Linked DNA regions of Rattus norvegicus. The protein of the gene in region 2 interacts with the protein of the main gene of each other region in a pairwise test. Links are inferred from orthologs where the notes say so. Each region holds a gene or a part of one and is shown on either strand. Other genes may lie near its edges.

Evidence for each region.
Region 1: the proteins of Hdac6 (region 2) and Erbb4 interact in a protein complementation assay, tested with the Homo sapiens proteins (2 studies listed by BioGRID and IntAct, with this or other methods). The link is inferred for Rattus norvegicus from reciprocal best matches to the Homo sapiens genes HDAC6 and ERBB4.

What each region holds. Positions count from the first base shown.
Region 1 is NC_086027.1:77,010,265-77,019,126, forward strand, and holds part of Erbb4 (receptor tyrosine-protein kinase erbB-4 precursor), read right to left. Parts: intron 7,675-8,862; coding exon 7,599-7,674; intron 5,006-7,598; coding exon 4,859-5,005; intron 2,610-4,858; coding exon 2,512-2,609; intron 806-2,511; coding exon 635-805; intron 1-634. UniProt on the Homo sapiens protein: Tyrosine-protein kinase that plays an essential role as cell surface receptor for neuregulins and EGF family members and regulates development of the heart, the central nervous system and the mammary gland, gene transcription, cell proliferation, differentiation, migration and apoptosis.
Region 2 is NC_086039.1:17,218,718-17,227,679, forward strand, and holds the start of Hdac6 (histone deacetylase 6), read left to right. Parts: upstream 1-4,457; 5' UTR 4,458-4,628; exon of another isoform or gene 4,629-4,703; intron 4,704-4,790; exon of another isoform or gene 4,791-4,998; intron 4,999-5,004; exon of another isoform or gene 5,005-5,034; 5' UTR 5,035-5,064; coding exon 5,065-5,154; intron 5,155-5,244; coding exon 5,245-5,373; intron 5,374-5,494; coding exon 5,495-5,583; intron 5,584-7,565; coding exon 7,566-7,650; intron 7,651-7,743; coding exon 7,744-7,784; intron 7,785-8,611; coding exon 8,612-8,708; intron 8,709-8,861; coding exon 8,862-8,959; intron 8,960-8,962.

The DNA.
Region 1 (8,862 bases), on a different chromosome or scaffold from region 2:
TTATCTAGTGATGTTTGGTCATTTTTGCTATATAGAGAGAGCAGGGAAGACCCCAGTCATACCCCAGACTGTCATACTTCCCACAAAGATTGATCTTCACAATCTACCTAGGAATTATTTTTTCTAAAGAGGTTTTTGTTGTTGTTGTCATTGTTGTTTTTCTTTTTTCTCTGTGTAGCCTTGGGTGTACTAGAACTCAGTCTGTAGTGCACAATGACCTAGAATTCAGAGGTCCTCCCACCTCTGTCACTCGAGTGGTAGAATTCAAGGTGTGCACCACCACCACCTGGCTTATGAATTAGAATTTTAAAGCTTTATGTTATCTGCTCCTATTGGGACCATAAAATATTTCAGGTTGATTCGCAATTACATATTTTCTTTTTCAGTACAAAGAAAAGTAAACCGTGGTCTGGAAGTGCGGTCCTTCCCTCCTACCTCCCTCTCTTCTTTCTTCTTATTTTAAATTGTTTTTCTTTTGTTTAGTTGCTGAGACAAGATCTCACTCTTTAGCCAGGCAGAAACTGGAATCATGACTAACCCTGTATATTTCTATGGAAACTTTTATGCCTCACCATCAGTGCATACCAATTTGTCTCTCAGAAGTATCATGGTACTTGTGTATGATTATTCTTACCCTATTGGAGTCAATTCTTGTTCTGGATGTGTAGATAGGAGGTGGGATATTGAAAGCCTGGGGGACCAAATATTCCTCAGCGTCCATCATATCTTCCAAATCCTCTTCATCCAAGAGATTCTGGAAGAATTTGCTGTCGTTTGGACTGGGAAGCTTCATGCGATCATCCCCCTGAAAGATTGCCCAAGAGATAACCACAACCATTATTCCTTCCTCCACAACTCATGGTTTCACTAGTCATTTTATACGCTAGAAAGGCAAACGGCTAGAGCACTCATGTGCTTATTTAAAACAACAGTCTTAACGTAACTACCATCCAAAAAGAATCCTGTACTATGGTTAGATAGTAAAAGGGATGACACAGAAATGGAGTAGAAGAATGCGATGATTTTAAGAACAGCAAGAAAAAGAACACAGCCAGGTGCTGTGCACATTTTAAGTGTGGGAAGTTCCACTTCAGATCTGAAAATAACAGTTCACTGTCGAGGAGGGGTAAGGATTAATAATCAACAGGAGCTGGAGGGGTTTGCATCCCCATAGGAAGAGCATCAACCAACCAGACCCCCCAGAGCTCCCAGGGACTAAACCACCAACCAGAGTACACATGGAAGGACCCGTGGCTCTAGCCGCGTAGGTAGCAGAGAGTGGCATTGTCTGCCATCAATAAGAGGAGAAGCCCTTGGTCCTGTGAAGGTTCGATGCCCCAGTGTAGGGGAATGCCAGGGTGGTTAGATGGGAATGGGTGGATGGGAGTGGGAAGATCTTCATAGAAGCAGGGGATAACATTTGAAATGTAAATACATAAAATATCCATAAAAATAAGTGTGCAATAAAGCTATGTAAAATCATGGGAAAAATTTAAAAAAAAGAATCGACAATAAGAGACCATCAACATATCAGTTTTAAATTAATACGTTTGCACTATTCTGCTTAGTCAGGACACAGACATCCATGGTCGACCTTGTAGTATAATGGCATCATTGTCAAAGTGATGGCATTTAAAAATCATAGTACAGTGACATATAGAGCATATGTGGGTGTGAAAACATATACGACCTCTGCTAAGGTTTGTTCCATTTATCATGCCTTAAATACTTTCACTTTTTCAAAATTTGTTATACTGGTAAAGAGTGTCAGTTTGTGACATGATTGTCTTCTAACGTCTGGCTTTGTTCTTCATGTTTAGTCTACTGAAAGGTAAATGCTCTTCTCAGTGAGGAAGAATTAAGACCCTTCAAGGTACAACTGCTTCTGCTTTAGATGAAACTAAGCACTGAGACATTATTATATTAATTAAATGAGCCAATCCATAGGGTTCCTGATGTTGAATGCAAAATACCTATTGCTTTGTTCTATGGTTTAGGTAGGCATCAATTCATCTGAATTGAGTTATTGCTTGGAGACGATACCCCTCGCCCAATAAAACAATCCACATGGACTTTTAAAATTAATATATGAAGAAATGGGTTTGTTATAGCATTATGATAAAATATTCATACATATATTGTTTTGGTTTATGACCTTCTGGTACTCCTCTCCCCTGGCTACTCAAATGTCATAGGTATTCTATTAGCTTCTTTCTTAATTTACCTTTCCCTTAAAACTTCTTTTTCCTTTCTAATGATCTCTTTCTAGTTTTGTGGCCTATACCATGTGTATGTGTATATGTAGACGGGTAAGTTTTACAGATGAGAGAGAATAGGTAGCATTTACCTTTCTGAGCCTGAATTTTCTCCTAGGCATACATAGAACCATAGTCAGATCCACGAATCCACAAGTTTTTCACATGGTCATTCTATTATCGGATGTTTTCAACATTGTAAAGTTTAGATAGAGTTTGTTATTAGAGTTTTAAAAGCAGCATCAAAACAACTAACCTGAATTACTAGGTATCTTTGAGGGTCTCTAGCCATCCTTGAAAACTCAGCAGCCAGTTCTTTGAATTTAGGTCTGCTGTCAGCATCGATCATCCAACCTGGAGATTAAGACGCAATAAACTATTAGTGCATCTATGCTTGGAGAAAGTGAGGTTAAAGTTTGGGTAATTATGGGGCAACTATGTGTGTATAGTTTTAGTAATATTCTGCAAAACAAAACTAGCGAAGGAAGCAAACCAGATTGTAACTCGGTTAATTGACATTGGTCATGGAATACAAGATACTATAAATTAACAATTTAAAAAAATCATTTAATTATGTTTTTTGTGTGGGTATGTGTACAGGGGCAGGTGCCTACAGAAGCCAGAAAAGAGCATCGGCTCACCTGAGCTTTGAGTTACAGGTGGTTGAGAGCTGCCTGACTTGGGCACTGAAACCCAGACAAATGTCCTCTGCAAGAGCATCACAAGCTCCTGACCGCTGACCCTTGTCTACAGGATCCCAAATTTTCATTGTGATTCAAACTCAATCTTTGGCTTAGAAAAATAGATTTTAGGATAACTCTAGGAAATTTTAAAACCTCCGATTTTTATTTTTCTTGCTTCAGAGTATTAAGATAATAAAACAATAAAGCATTCTTTGATGGCTACAGAGGTAGACAAAGAACACATGGAAGTTAAGATAGAAATTAAGAGTACATGGACGAAAGTGTTTGCTTGCCATCTTATCACTGTGGTACAAAAGACTGAAAGGGGGGAAACTGAAAGCAACTGCTTTTTGCCGGTTTGTTCCTGGTTGGAAGGAAAATGCAACATGATCTGTAATGTGTGTTCAACAATACTCATTTCACTTATCTTAGAATTAGCTTTCCCAGAATAAAAATACTAGTGTTCAAGGTAGGTAGCCTTCTTTATCTGGGAGTTCAGATTAAATGGATCTTAACGGCCTACGCTCTGTTTAGCTGATGAGATGACAAGAATAACAGCGCCAAGCTCGCTTTGATGTCATTGCCAAGTGATCCCTTTCTAAAGCATAAACTCTCCAGGGGAAGCGAGAAAAACAAAGGTGAAGCCATGTCTATGGTTTATCTAATAAGGCCAAATGTCTGCCTGCCTTCCCCTCATCACACTGGGGTATTCTAGTCACATCTGATGCTGGTGATGGGATCAAATTATCATATAACGTAGGGATGTTTTTAAGGTCTCTTCCAGGTAACTGGGTAAACCAGGACTGATCTAACGCAGCTATGGAGCTCTTTTTCTATTTCTAGGGAGTTCATTCTTATTCTTGTTTTGGAAATCCTCTGGGTATCATCTTATACATCCTTTGTGTCTCCTCTCGCAAGCCCAAACACTTGCATCTTATGGGTATTCATTTAAAAAAATGCTTGTTAATGCCAAGATGCTAATGGCAAAGCTACTAGAGCCAAAAAAGGTTAACTTCACTGCGAGATATTTGTTTCTCCCTAACTAAATATTGAGTAAATAGAACTATGCTTAGAGAAAAGGGCATGCTGACCTGCACTGCAAGGAACATTTTTTATTTCTTCCCTTCCTGTCAGAATAGATCACACATGTCATGAATATAAATATGAGAAGACCTGGGCCTAGAGTCTCTGAGTCTCTTATTAATAAAATGCCTATTCACCTTCACCACTTCCTGTCTTCCTTTAACCCTGTGTAAATCAAAACTAGAAAACCCCAGATTATACAAGAGAGATGGCTGCCTGTTAATCTCACTTAAATTAAGTCAGAAACCCCAGAGACTTCTTTAATTCTATTAAAATTAACGGTCTAGGCTTCCAAAAAAACACATTTATAAAACATATGTGTCTGGAGTATAGGAGTGGAAAGAAAAGTAGGAATATTTGATGTAAACAAATGATCAAATTAAAAAAGGTAAACATTTTAATCTTTGCTTCAATGTGGATTCCACTCTTCTGATTCCCAACCTGCTCTGCTAACTTACTTTTAATTAAGCCTATATCCATTTTAATTCTTTTTTAGACTATCAGTGATGTTTAGATATTTTCCCATGAAGATTAACATTAATATTATTACTAACATCCTTATGAGTAGTAATCTCTCTTTATGACCCACTTTGAAGGGTATGGAAATTATAAAACATATGAACAAGAATGATACAATTTTTACTTTGTAGCTTAGAGGTATACTATTATCTCATAATAATAATTACAACAAACATGGATTTATATTCCGCATTCCTAAGTATTCTTGCTACTATGTTTAGCAATGCAGGGAAACACTTTTCAGGTAGAACAATCTAAACTTTTATTTTATTAATAATAATGATGCAAGCAAGTGATAAAATTATTTTCCAGGCTTACATTTGACCATGACCATGTAAACGTCAATAGTGCAGATGGGAGGTTGAGGCAAACGCTCTCCCTTCTCTAATAAGTCAGGGATTTCTCGCGTTGGAATTCCATCATAGGGCTTTCCTCCAAAGGTCATCAGTTCCCATATAGTGACACCTAGTTGAAAAGATAATTCTCACATAAGCAAATTACCATCACAATTTGAATGAACACATATAAAGTTACTCGTTTACAAACCCATCAGTTGAAACTTTAAGGAATCTCCTTAATCCACTGTCACTCACTGCAAAAAATCCCAATGCTAAACTCTCCTGGGACCAGTAACAGAATTCTTTCACTATTGTCTTGAACTTTTTAAAGCATAGCAGGAAAGATTTGTAATAGGTAATAGATACCAGAATTTAAACCAAGTTTCCCATTTGTACCAAAAAGTAATGCTAACGCTTATTGATGAAAATGGTTTCACGTGCATTAAGAGCCCAGATACAATGCCTTGACTGTGTTTAATGCCAAATCAATATGGTTTCAGGAAAAGCCTGACATGGATTAATTTTTAAATTAGTCTCTTGGTAAGAAACATCATCAAAGGCAGAGCTGGTAGTCGCAGAGGGTTGCAGGTAGCTGTTGTTATGGTAAAGCCTTGTGGCTCACTGTTCAGCCTACACAAAGAAAACAAGTGGCATGGAGCAATTCACTGAGCACACACAGGATTCCGCACGAGGATCAATCCATATGGAGGACAGAAAGTATAGGAATGGGTATCCGTAGAAAAGAGAAATGAGGAAATCAAGAGCAGCTTATTTTTAAGCTACGGAAATGACTTTTTTTGAATCACTTGAGCAATGACGGAAAAAAAAATGAGTAAAAGCAAAACCAAGAACACAAATAGCTTCACAACACACATTACTTCTTCACTATAGAGGGTAAATTCTCTGTTGCTGAGCTTTATCCTCAGACCAGACTACTTTAAAAACAGAAATACGATGTACGCATGATTGTGTTGCAATACGAGTCTATGCATACATAGGTAACCCTTTATAAAACCAAATAATTGGGGCGAGGTTTTCTGAATATCTCTGCAATGCTTATTTTCTTAAACTGATATCTGTCAGTCACTATTGACTGAAAACAAAACAAAAGTATGTAAACTTCAAATTATCCTTCAGACTAGAATCGTTAACACTTATAGGATTATTTGTTAATATTTACATCTTATAAATTTTTGGTGTCACATATATGTACAACTAGTAACATATTTCAGCAGATTAGCATTTACTAAATCCTTATTTATATCAAGAGCTAGTTGCTCAAAGTGTCAATAGTTCCACTTCAGTGGAAGGCTTGGAAAATATTGATCTATTTAAGCAAGTCAAGCACAGTGTGATACACATATATGCATATATACACACATCATAATAAATACATACAAACATATATACATACATACGTACATACATACACACACAGGCACACACATGCATACACACACACACACACACACACACACACACACACACACACACACACACACGCACACAGCATACGGACACAGGAAACATTTTATTAAACCATGGAATCATGTTTGCTGTTGCAAAGGACAGTATTAAGTTAAACATGAGTACTGACGTCAGGGATTGTGTTCTTTTCTTCTCTCTTCTTTTATACGCATTTAGTTATGGGTGTGTGTAATCGTGAGGATCTGCCACAGCACATGACTGGAGGACAGAGGACAAGTTGAAGGAGTTTGTCTTCTCCTCCCACCAAGTCATTTCTGAGGTTGAGCTCACTCTCTTCACCTTGGCAGTAAGCACCTTCACCTTCCGAAGCATCTTACAGGCCTAGAGGCATTGGTTTTTACTCACTTTGAACGTATTTACTCAATTAATATTAGTTTTCATGGCATATTTAAACTTAGACAAAGCATCGATCTCATCTAGTAATTTAAAGGGACAAAACTGTAAACATAGATGCTGCTAGCTAGTTCACCTTAACAACTGACTTCAAAATGATGAAATGAAATTCTAATCATAAATATTAATCTCTCTTTCATGTTCTTCAATCATTCAAACTTTATTTTTGTCATCCTAAAATGGGTTCATAAATGAAAATCCAAGCTACAATTAGCAGTCTCCTATTACTATTTTTACAATTGCCACTTTAGTATGTTTATTAGTGGTCCACTGTTGCTTCAATAACCAGTATATTTTCTAGCACTAGAATATATATTCCTTTAAGCAAAAAATAACATTTTGCTTTGTTTTACCTGTTAACATTGAGTACTTTCAGAGTTTTATGACTAAACAGCTGTTGAAAATTAAGGCCACGAGAAGTTTTTCCTAATGTTGGTTAGGTTGTGTGTGTGTGTGTGTGTTTGTGTGTGTGTGTGTGTGTGTGTGTCTGTCTGTCTGTCTGTCTCTCTCTCTCTCTCTCTGTGTGTGTGTGTGTGTGTGTGTGTGTAAGAATAGATTAATCAGACAAATTATTCTCAAACCATAGCATATAGAAGAAAACTTAGCAGTGATATTGTGTACTTCAGATTTAGAAAAACAAAATAAATCACCAAAAGGCAGATAAAATTGTGATTTGGGGATTTATTTTTAAATGAGAGACCAAAGTGTGTTAATTACTCTAGGAAATCAAATTTAATTTATAAGGGCTTCCAGTACAACCAACATACGACTTTAACTATTTTGTGTGAGGTAAACATTTATGTTTCTTTGAAAGTACAAATTTACAAAGATTTATTTACCGTAGCTCCAAACATCGCTTTGATGTGTGAATTTCCTATAATGTATACATTCCAGAGCCATCCATTTAATTGGCATCTATAAGAAGAATGAAAAGTAAATTATTAAAAATTACACAAGAATCATTTTTAAAAGATATTTCTTAGGTGCTAGTCTCTGGACTGGCCTCCATTAGAGTTGGTGGAGTGTGTATTGCTATAAACCAGTTGTTTTTCAAGATATGGAACAAATGGATTAAAATTAGTAAAATCTATGAAATAAATTAACCAAAGGACACATTTTAAAGCTTTAGAAATGATACAAAGAAAACTGAAAGTAGAAAATACTTTATCTATTTCTTAACATCTAGTATCTAAATTTTGAGCTGGCATTATGCCTGGCAATATAAAATCTGACAGTCTTTCTAAACGATGCTTTCTCAAAAATGAGACTCCCTCAGTTTCAGTGACCCTGCTTGTCTTTCTGATATGGTTTTAACCACAGATGTGAGCCATTGTTTCTTCAGTTGCCGTAACTTCCTCTTCTGGTCACCAAATTGTCTAATATCATGAATTCTAACATTTGCTTTGCTTTGTTCTTTCATCACAAATGATCTCCCTTGCCTGGGTAAGCCAGAATGGGCAATATGTACTGCTTTCGAAATAGGAGCTCAGAACATAAAGGAATGTGAGGGGATCAGCACAAATCCTTCATCGCTACAAGAGAAACAACTCAACCCATATCCCCTGTGGGTGATGGGTCAGCAGAATGCGTTTCAACCCAAAGGGCAGCAGTATGTAGCTGGGGGATATAATTAGAGTCTATGAAATAAAGATAAACATTTCTACTTTGCAGTTGAAAGCTTAAAACTAAATAGGCATTTGAAATCATGAGGTTGGCTGCTCACCAAGGTGACACCAAGGTAACTCTATGACAGAATCATGGGATTCACTGAAAAGGAACAGAAGACACATTGAAAGTAATTTCCCTATGGGCAAGGAGTTAGCGGACTTTATAGAGTATGGACACCCTGTTACAGAAGTAAGTTTAAATCATATGTGGCTTGATGAAGACTTAATGGTGACCAGGCATTTAAAGCTATAATGAATCTTGCTTTAGACAAACTTTACAGTTGTACGTTCCTAAGACGGGTAAAGTAATATGATTTATAGTCTGCTATTTCGGAGAAATCTTGTTGGAAATTTCATAGCTGTGATTTTTCAACCACTGGAGTTTGTAGGAGTTTGTAGTAAATAGACAAAATAGGCTGATAAAATTGAAGAAAGG
Region 2 (8,962 bases):
AGGCTGCCCTTTCAACAATGGCCTCTCCTGGCCTCTCCCAGTGCCCAGCCTCAGCTGCTCTCCATGACCCCTTCATGTCTTCAAAACCAGTACCACCTGGGTGACTCTGACACTGCCAAGTTCAGCTGATAGCACAAGGTACAAATGTAGCTGCCTCTGGAACATAGCTTTTCTTCCTTCCTTCCTTCCTTCCTCTCTCTCTCTCTCTCTCTCTCTCTCTCTCTCTCTTTCTTTCTTTCTTTCTTTCTTTCTTTCCCTGGCTGTCCTGGAACTCACTCTGTGAGTCAGGCTGGCCTCAAACTAGAGAGATCTAAATGTATGTACCACTTCCACCCGGCATTAAGATTCATTTTATATTTTGTCTGTTGGTCTCTTATTTTAAGATTTATTTATTTATTATACATAAGTACACTGTTGCTCCCCTCAGACACACCAGAAGAGGGCATCAGATCCCTTTACAGATGTTTGTGAGCCACCATGTGGTTGCTGGGATTTGAACTCAGGACCTCTGGAGGAGCAGTCAGTGCTCTTAACCGCTGAGCCATCTCTCCAGCCCTGATCTCCTCTTAATCACCATTAATTTCTCATCTCCACCTGAGCAGCACTGGAAATCCCAGCAAGGCAAAGGGCTTGCTTAAGCAGTTCTGCTATCTTGTTAAATCTTCAGCCCCAACTGACCAGAACCATAGAATATTAATTCAAAATAACAAATGGCCCCAGTTGTGTCTTTAAACTTCTGTCACTTCACAAGCCAGACCTCTATCATCCACATTGCCCTCAAAAGTCTCATCTTCCAACCTTTTACACAATGGCTCATCAAACACTGATGAACACCCTCCCCCAAACGACATTGTCAGGGTTGCCGCAGCAATGCCCCTAAGACCAACTTGTCTCAGGGTTACTATTGCTGTTATGAAACACCATGACCAAAAGGAACTTGGGGAAAAAAGGGTTTATTTCGCTCACAGTTCCACATAATAGCTTATCAAAAGCAGTGAGAACAGGAATTCACAGGGCAGGACCCAGAAGGCAGGTGCTGATGTAGAGGTCATGAAGGGTGCTAATTGCTGCCTTGTTCAGCTTCCTTTCTTATAGAACCCAGGACCGCCAGCCCAGGAGTGGCACCACCCACAATGCACTGGGCCCCTCCTCAACAATCACTTATTAAGAAAATGCCTCAGGAGAGGCGACCTGCAATACTAGCCAAAACAATAGATCATTGCCTATCCCATCCTCAGAGGCTTCATTTAGCACCTGATGGAAGCAGATAGAGACTTGCAGCCAAGAATTAGCCAGTTCTGGAAATCCCAAGGAAGCAGGAGGAGGAAGGGTTGCAGGAGCCGGAAGGGTCAAAGACACCATGAGAACACTTCCCTCAAAAACAACTAAGCAGGGCTCATAGGGGCTCAAAGTCACTGAACCAACAACCAGGGAGCCCGCATGGGACTTCCCTAGGTTCTCTGCACATATGTTACGGTTGTCCAGCTTGGTATTCTTGTAGGAATTCTAACAATTAGAGTAGGGGCTGTCGCTGACATTTTTGCCTGCTTCAGGGATCCTTTTCCTCTTACTAGGTTGCCTTGTCCAGCCTTGATGTGAGGGCTGTGCCTGGTCCTATTGCATCTTGTGCGGGTTTGGTAGATGTCCCTGGAAGGCCTATTCTTTTTCTGAAGGGAAAATGGAGGAAAAGTGGACCTAGGGGAGAGTGGATTGGGAAGGGGTGAAGGGAGGGCAAACTGCTATTGAGATGAAGAAAAAACTGAGAAGAAGAAAAAAGATTGATACAAATAAGCATCTTCAAGGTATCTAAGAATAGAAATGTAACCATTTAGGGAGGGAGAAAGCCCTTAAAGGCCTGCCTACGACCTGTCCTTACAGAGGCATTTTCTTTTCTCTGGGATTTTAGAGACAAGGTTTCTCTATATAGCCCTGGCTGTCCTGGAATCCATTCTGTAGACCAGGCTGGCCTCCAATCAGAGACCCAACTGCCTCTGCCTCCTGAGAGATGGGATTAAAGGCAAATGCCAGTATCGCTTGGCAATCTTATGTTTTTAAAGCAGAGGTTCTCAAACCTTCTTAATGCTGTGACCCTTTAATACAGTTCTTCATGGTGTGGCGACCCCTCCCACCATAAAACTGTTTTTTTTTTGGTTTTTTTTTTTTTTTGGTTCTTTTTTTCGGAGCTGGGGACCGAACCCAGGGCCTTGCGCTTCCGAGGCAAGCGCTCTACCACTGAGCTAAATCCCCAGCCCCCACCATAAAACTGTTTTAGTTGCTACTTCATAACTGTAATTTTGCTACTGTTATGAATGGTAAGGTAAGTATTTTTGGAGATAAAGGTTTGTCAAGGGGGTCACAACCCACAGGCTGAGAAGCACTGTTTTAAATTGTTGGACTAGAGAATGGCTCAGTGCTAGATTCCTTGCACTCACATCAAAGGATTCATGAACACTTCTTACTCCTCCTCCTGGAGGATCCCATGTCCTTTCTTGGCCTCCTTAGGCTCTGACATATACACACAGGCATAATATGTCAACTCTGCTCTGCATGGTGACACGTGTCTTTCATCCAGAACTCAGGGGACAGAGGCAGGTGGATCTCTAAATTTGAGGCCAGCCTGGTCTACAGAGTTCTAGGACAGGTGGGACTTAATGGAGAGACCCTGTCTCAAAAACTTAGCAAAAAATAATTTTTGGAACAAATGGTTGTTGCTTGATTTTTTTAAAGATTTATTTATTTATTACATATGAGTACACTGTAGCTGTCTTCAGACACACCAGAAGAGAGCATCAGACCTCATTACAGACAGTTGTGAGCCACCATGTGGTTGCTGGGATTTGAACTTGGGACCTCTGGAAGAGCAGACTGCTCTTAACCGCTGAGCCATCTCTCCAGCCCATGATTTTTTTTTTTTAAGAAAGAAAGGAAGTGTATCAAAGATTAAATGTGGCTGCAAAGCCTAAACTATTTGAAATCTGAGCTTTTTTAAAGTTTACTGGGCCCTGTTGTACAGGGACCTTTTCTGACTCTACAAGAACATGGGACTTCATGTTCTACAGTGATCTTCAATCTCTCCCAGCATGTTTTATGTAGTATTATTTTCTTTCGTGTGTGTAGATTTAGATTGCCCTTAAGACAAAAGTTGTGCTGAGAACGTGGAGGGCTGAAACTGGCATCTGCAAGAGGTTCCAAGGGTCTGGCTATTGGATTATGGGACTGTCACTCTACTTGCTAGTCAGTGATGCAGAACCCCAGATGGTTTCTTTCTGGTCACAGCCAGAAAGCTCCTTAGGAAATGGTGTCCTCAAGAGGGGGAAGATCAGGACAACTCGGTCACCTGTGGGACTGATACTTAGATACTTAGACACAGGATGGGCATCTCAAAGAGTCACAGGGACAATTTTCCCTTCTCAGTCTACCACTTGCTATTAGTTTGATTACTCAGAGGGGGACAGGTAGGTTGAGCTCCCATTCAGGAGAAACAGTCCTTTGCAAATCCATTCTGATCTTGGTACTAGCATCTCAATTTTCCAGGAGAGGAAGCTGAGGACAGAGCTGTGACCTGCCAAGATCTAAATCTAAGTCCCTCTGTGTGTTGTCTACAGAGCAGCCTTAACAATGCAAACTGCCTCACAGAAGTCAGGCTTTCTGACACACTGAGCCACTTAGGCCCCACCCCTGCACCAGCTCGCAGAGACTCCTTCTAGTCTTAATAGCTAACATTTGGGGCTGCTTCTTGAATACCATCGGAGTGACTAGTAGCTCAGGAAATTATCAACATTTACCATCACACTCATTTGGGTTGCCACCAGCCAAAGTCTATTATTAGCGTTTATCTCGAACTAGTCACCCGCTGGCGCGAGCTACGTCATCGCCAAACGCAGCTCAGGAATCTTGGGAGCAGACGTCTCTTCCAAACATCCTAGCTTCTTTGATTTGCTCCACACAACACAACTGATGCGAATCCGTAGGTCTTCTAGGATGACTAGCCTGGAATTGAGAATGGCGGCAGCAGCAATCCGAACCACAGCAGCGGTGGATGCGGGGGTGGGGAGTGGGGAGCGTGTTAGCGCTAGGGGCAGATCCGGGTCTCGAACCTGGGAGTAGAACACCACGCAGGCGCAGTAGGACCGGTTCCACGGGCATGCTCGCGAGAGGTGTGGTTTGCACCCGAAGCGTTGTGGGCGGACTAGATCAGTTTTGTGGGCTGGAGGTGGGCGGGTAAATTAAAACGCTCAGCCCAATGGAAAAGAAGGGATGAGGGCCCGGGGCCACACAGGTCGCCGGGAATTTGGCGGCGCGAGTCAAGGGCGGAGTTTGGAAAGGGGGCAGTGCTCAGTAAGTAGGGACAAAACGATTGGCCGGCGTGGATGGCTGGGCGGGAGTTGGGCGGAGGCTTGCCACCGGCTGAGGGAGCTTGGTTAAACGGTAGGCGTCTGGGAAGGGGGTGGGGTCTGAAGGATTCTGCTCGAAAGGGGCAGTCCTCTGAGCAGCGGGGCAAAGGGGAAAGCTGGGGGCGAGATCTGTGAGAGAGGAAGGTGCGGGCTCGGCCCTACAGGAGGTGGAGTTGAGTGAGTCTTTGAGGGTGCTGCCGAGGCCGCGGCAGCCTGGTCTGGCGGACGAGAAAGGTGGGTGATTTATCTGGGGAGCTAGGCTGAAGCGGGCAGGTTGCAGAAGCCAAGCGTTCCGAGCGCAGATTAGAGGTATGAAAGGATGTGGGAAGTGGAGGGGTGGGGGGCGGTGACTGGACAGGGCAGGCCTTAGAAGAGCCTGGCTGAGCCTGGGCTTACCTCGTTTAGTGAATAGGCAAAATGAGGAAAGAATCGGGTAAAAGCAGCGAGGTCCAGGGGGAATGGACCGGACCAGGTTTCCTCTAGGAGAAGATGGCCTTGGGGGGGGCGGGGTTTAGAAGGCTCGGGAATGGAACGGGGTGAAGGCTGCGCTCTAGAATAGGGGGCGGGGCCTGGAAAGGAGCTGTGATGTGGGGTCCTCTGGACACTGCAGCCGCCTCACCACCAACGACACCTTTGCTAGAGCCGTTCCAGGAGCAAAGGCTCTTCAGCCATGACCTCCACCGGCCAAGATTCTTCTACCAGGCAGCGAAAGAGTAGGCACAATCCCCAATCGCCCCTTCAGGACTCCAGCGCCACCTTGGTGAGGCCCCAGACCAGCCCTGCTGGGGAGTGGAAGGGGGGGTGGGAAGCCAGCCATCCATGTCTTCTGATTCTTCTCTCTGATTGGCAGAAGCGTGGTGGGAAGAAGGGTGCTGTACCCCACTCCAGCCCCAATCTAGCGGAGGTAAAGAAGAAAGGCAAAATGAAGAAGCTCAGCCAACCAGCTGAAGAAGACCTAATCGTTGGGCTTCAAGGGCTGGTAAGCGAGGCCTGGCTGAAGTTTGGCCTTCTTTACCAAACAAAACAGTGATTTTCCCCATCATGGACGGTGTGAGGTGTTTCCTCTGATTGGATCTGTGTTTCATTTCTTTCCCCTGCAGGATCTGAACTCTGAGACAAGAGTACCAGTTGGTACTGGATTGGTATTTGATGAACAGCTAAATGACTTCCACTGCCTTTGGGATGACAGGTGAGCCTGGGATCACCAAATTGTCCCCAAACTATAAAATTTACACAATTGCCCCCTTCTTCCCACAAACAAGAGTGAATCTTTTGTTATTCGAGCCTGTAGTCTGGAAGCAGGTGATTTAGGGAGTGGGGATCATTCTGGAAAGGGTTTTCTTTTAAGCCAATAAACGGAGTGTATACTGTGTGCCAAGAGTTACTGATATATGTGACCAACATAGAAAAGACCTTTCTCAGCTCACTGGTGAGTATGAGGGGAGATCATTAAACACCCAACAGTGGTATAAACTGTTCAATGAAGACGAAATGACTGGGAAATCCACGTGCAAAATTTTGCTTTGAGATAGAATCTGACGCTGTACCCTGGGCTATCCTGGAACTCATTATGTAGTCATCGGCCTCAAACCTCCCATGAGCCTCCTGTCTTAGCCACTTGAGTGCTGATATTTGTAGGCATAAACTACTACACTTGGCTAGAAATGATTGTTAGAGGGCCCTGGCCTCTAGCTAGCATGAGCCTTCTTTAAGAATGAGACATTTGGGGCTGGGGATTTAGCTCAGTGGTAGAGCGCTTACCTAGGAAGCGCAAGGCCCTGGGTTCGGTCCCCAGCTCCGAAAAAAAAAAAAACCAAAAAAAAAAAAAAGAATGAGACATTTATGCTGAAATACACTTCTCGAAAGAATCTATTTATTCTTTTTGGCTCTGTCTTCAAAATATATTCACTATCTGATTTCTTTCCACTTGTTCCCTGCTTCTAGCCTCCACATTGAAACCTAAAAAAAAATACATTTGAGATATTTCCTTTCTTAAAATACTTCAAGGCCAGAGCATTGCTCTTAAGGTAAAATTGGAATTCTTTATCTTGGCCTCTAAGGTTCCACGTGATTTGGCTCCCTGTCACCTTTTGTGACCTGTTCAGCCAGGCCTTTCCTTGTGTGCTTCAGTTCACTTCACTCACACTGGCCGCCTTCTCTTCTTTCAATATGCCAGGCGCCCTCTAGCCTTGGGTCTTTACCCTTGACTGATTCCTCTTTCAACTTTCACAGCTATGGAGACTCGCAGAAGCCTTTGACTGGCCACTACCTTTCTCACATCTGATCTTAGCTGTTTTACTAGCCTCCGTCATCGTTTGTTAATCATTACACTGATATTTACAAATATAGTAGCCGTCTCCCCTATCCTAACCTGAAACTAACTCACGATGTCAAGAGGCTCTCTTTATGGTACATTTGTTGAGGATACAGCCGTAAACAAAGTTGCCTTCAGAAGTAGTCAAGAGGTGACCTCTACAGTGTTAGAGCAGAGGAATTCAGGTGGGAGGGAGAGGAAAGTTTGAGTAGAAGGGGTGCTTCCCTTTGGAATACAATAGCTAGGGGAGGTAGTGCTAACATTTGAGTAAAGATACAAGGGGCGGAGGGGGGAGGCTAAGGGACTGAGCCATGAGTCATCGCTGAAAAGAGTATTCCAGACATGTAAGACAGTTGAAGTCCTCAGGTCTAGCTGAAGGGAATGTGATTTAATTGCAGACCAAGGACCATAGCCCAGGAAACAAGGTGAAAGAGGAGGGGTGTGGTTAGAAAGAACCAGAATAGGGATGGGGCTAGCTTTATTTTTTAGGGCCTTCTAGGTGTGATGCAAAGTTTGGCTTTACTGGGAACAGAGTCAGAGCTACAAAAGGGTGTTGAGGAGTAAAAATCCTAACCACTGGCTGGCTGCAGTGTAAAGGAGGGGCTATTGGGGGAATCCGTGTAGAAGCAGGGGGCGGTTCGGGTAAAGGTGATGGAGCAGACAGCTCAGACTGCAGTTTCCCACTACCCGCATGAATGCTAGCAGGGAGGAAAGTAGTGGAAGACGTAAGGAAATGCTAATGTTGCAGGTAAGAGGTGAGCAGCTATGGGAGGGTGGGTAGGAGATGGGACAAGAGCAGACGTGCTCCCTAGCATTTTGTCTGTGTATCTGTGTGATCCCCCTCTCCACCTCCCCAGCTTCCCTGAAAACCCTGAGCGGCTCCATGCCATCAAAGAGCAGCTGATCCTGGAGGGCCTCCTGGGCCGCTGTGTGTCCTTTCAGGTGACTCCTCCACAGCCTTCAAAGGGTGGGTGGGGAACTGGCAGGACCTACGCATGGCCTGCACTTTAGCCTGTTTGCCTTGTGTCTCCCCAGGCCCGGTTCGCCGAGAAGGAGGAACTGATGTTGGTTCACAGGTGAAAACATAGGAGTTGATAGAACAGGGAGGAGGATCCCCGTGCCCAACCTGGATAGACTGAATGCTTAGGAGAGAATCCCATAGACTCTGTGGCCAGCCTTGAGCAAGTCCCTGAGCCTCTCTGAATCTGCGTCATGGCTAAAATACCCAAGTTCCAGCCAAGTGTGTTGATACATGCCTATAATCAATCCATCACTTGGGATGTGAAGACAAGAGAATCAGGAAATCAAGATAGCCTCAGCTACATAGCAGGTTTAACTTGGGTTTATGAGACCCTGTCTAAAAAAAGCCTCCTAGCCCCTAAAGAAAAGAAATCTAAGTCCTTCAGGGGGATCAGTGTGTATCAGGTACCTGACAGCATCTTAAACCTGTGAAGGGCTGGTGTCATTATAATCTGGTTCATTGGCTGATGCTAGATACTTGTCAAAGTGACCAGGAGGGTCCTGGGGACTAAAGAAGCTCAAAGGAAGGAGCCTGGTACAGTGTGGCTCACAGAAGAACCAGTTTGGCAGAGAGAATATATGAGCTGAGATCCAAGAGGCAAAAAAGTGGGTGAGTCTAGGGAAGAGAAGGACTGAGGAAAGGAAGATTCAACAGAACTGTAACTATATAGCCAGAGGCCTTGAAGTACAAGTTGATGTCTTTCAACAGGGAACTAAATACATAACTGGGGATGGGGGAGGCTAGAAAGGAAGCAGGGACTGCAGCCTAAATCCCAGCTGAACCCCTCGGCTGACTGGAAGCCTGATTTGACAAGAGTTCTGGTTGTAGAAGGTATGGCTGGAAAGGGACCAGGGCTGTAAAACCTCTATCTTGTGTCTCCAGCCTGGAATACATTGATCTGATGGAGACAACCCAGTACATGAATGAAGGAGAACTTCGAGTTCTTGCAGGCACCTATGATTCCGTTTATCTGCATCCGGTATGGAGAGAACTGTGGGGTCAGGGCGTGGCAGCATCTCTGGGGTATCTCCCGTATCCATGCCAACCTCACTGTGGGAATGAGAAGCTAAATGAATAGGGCAATGCTTTCCCTCTCTCTAACTCTTTCTCTCTGGTTTCCCATGGTCTCCAGAACTCATATTCATGTGCCTGCCTAGCTACAGGCTCTGTCCTCAGGCTGGTAGATGCAGTTATGGGGGCTGAGATTCGGAATGGCATGGCCGTCATCAGGTA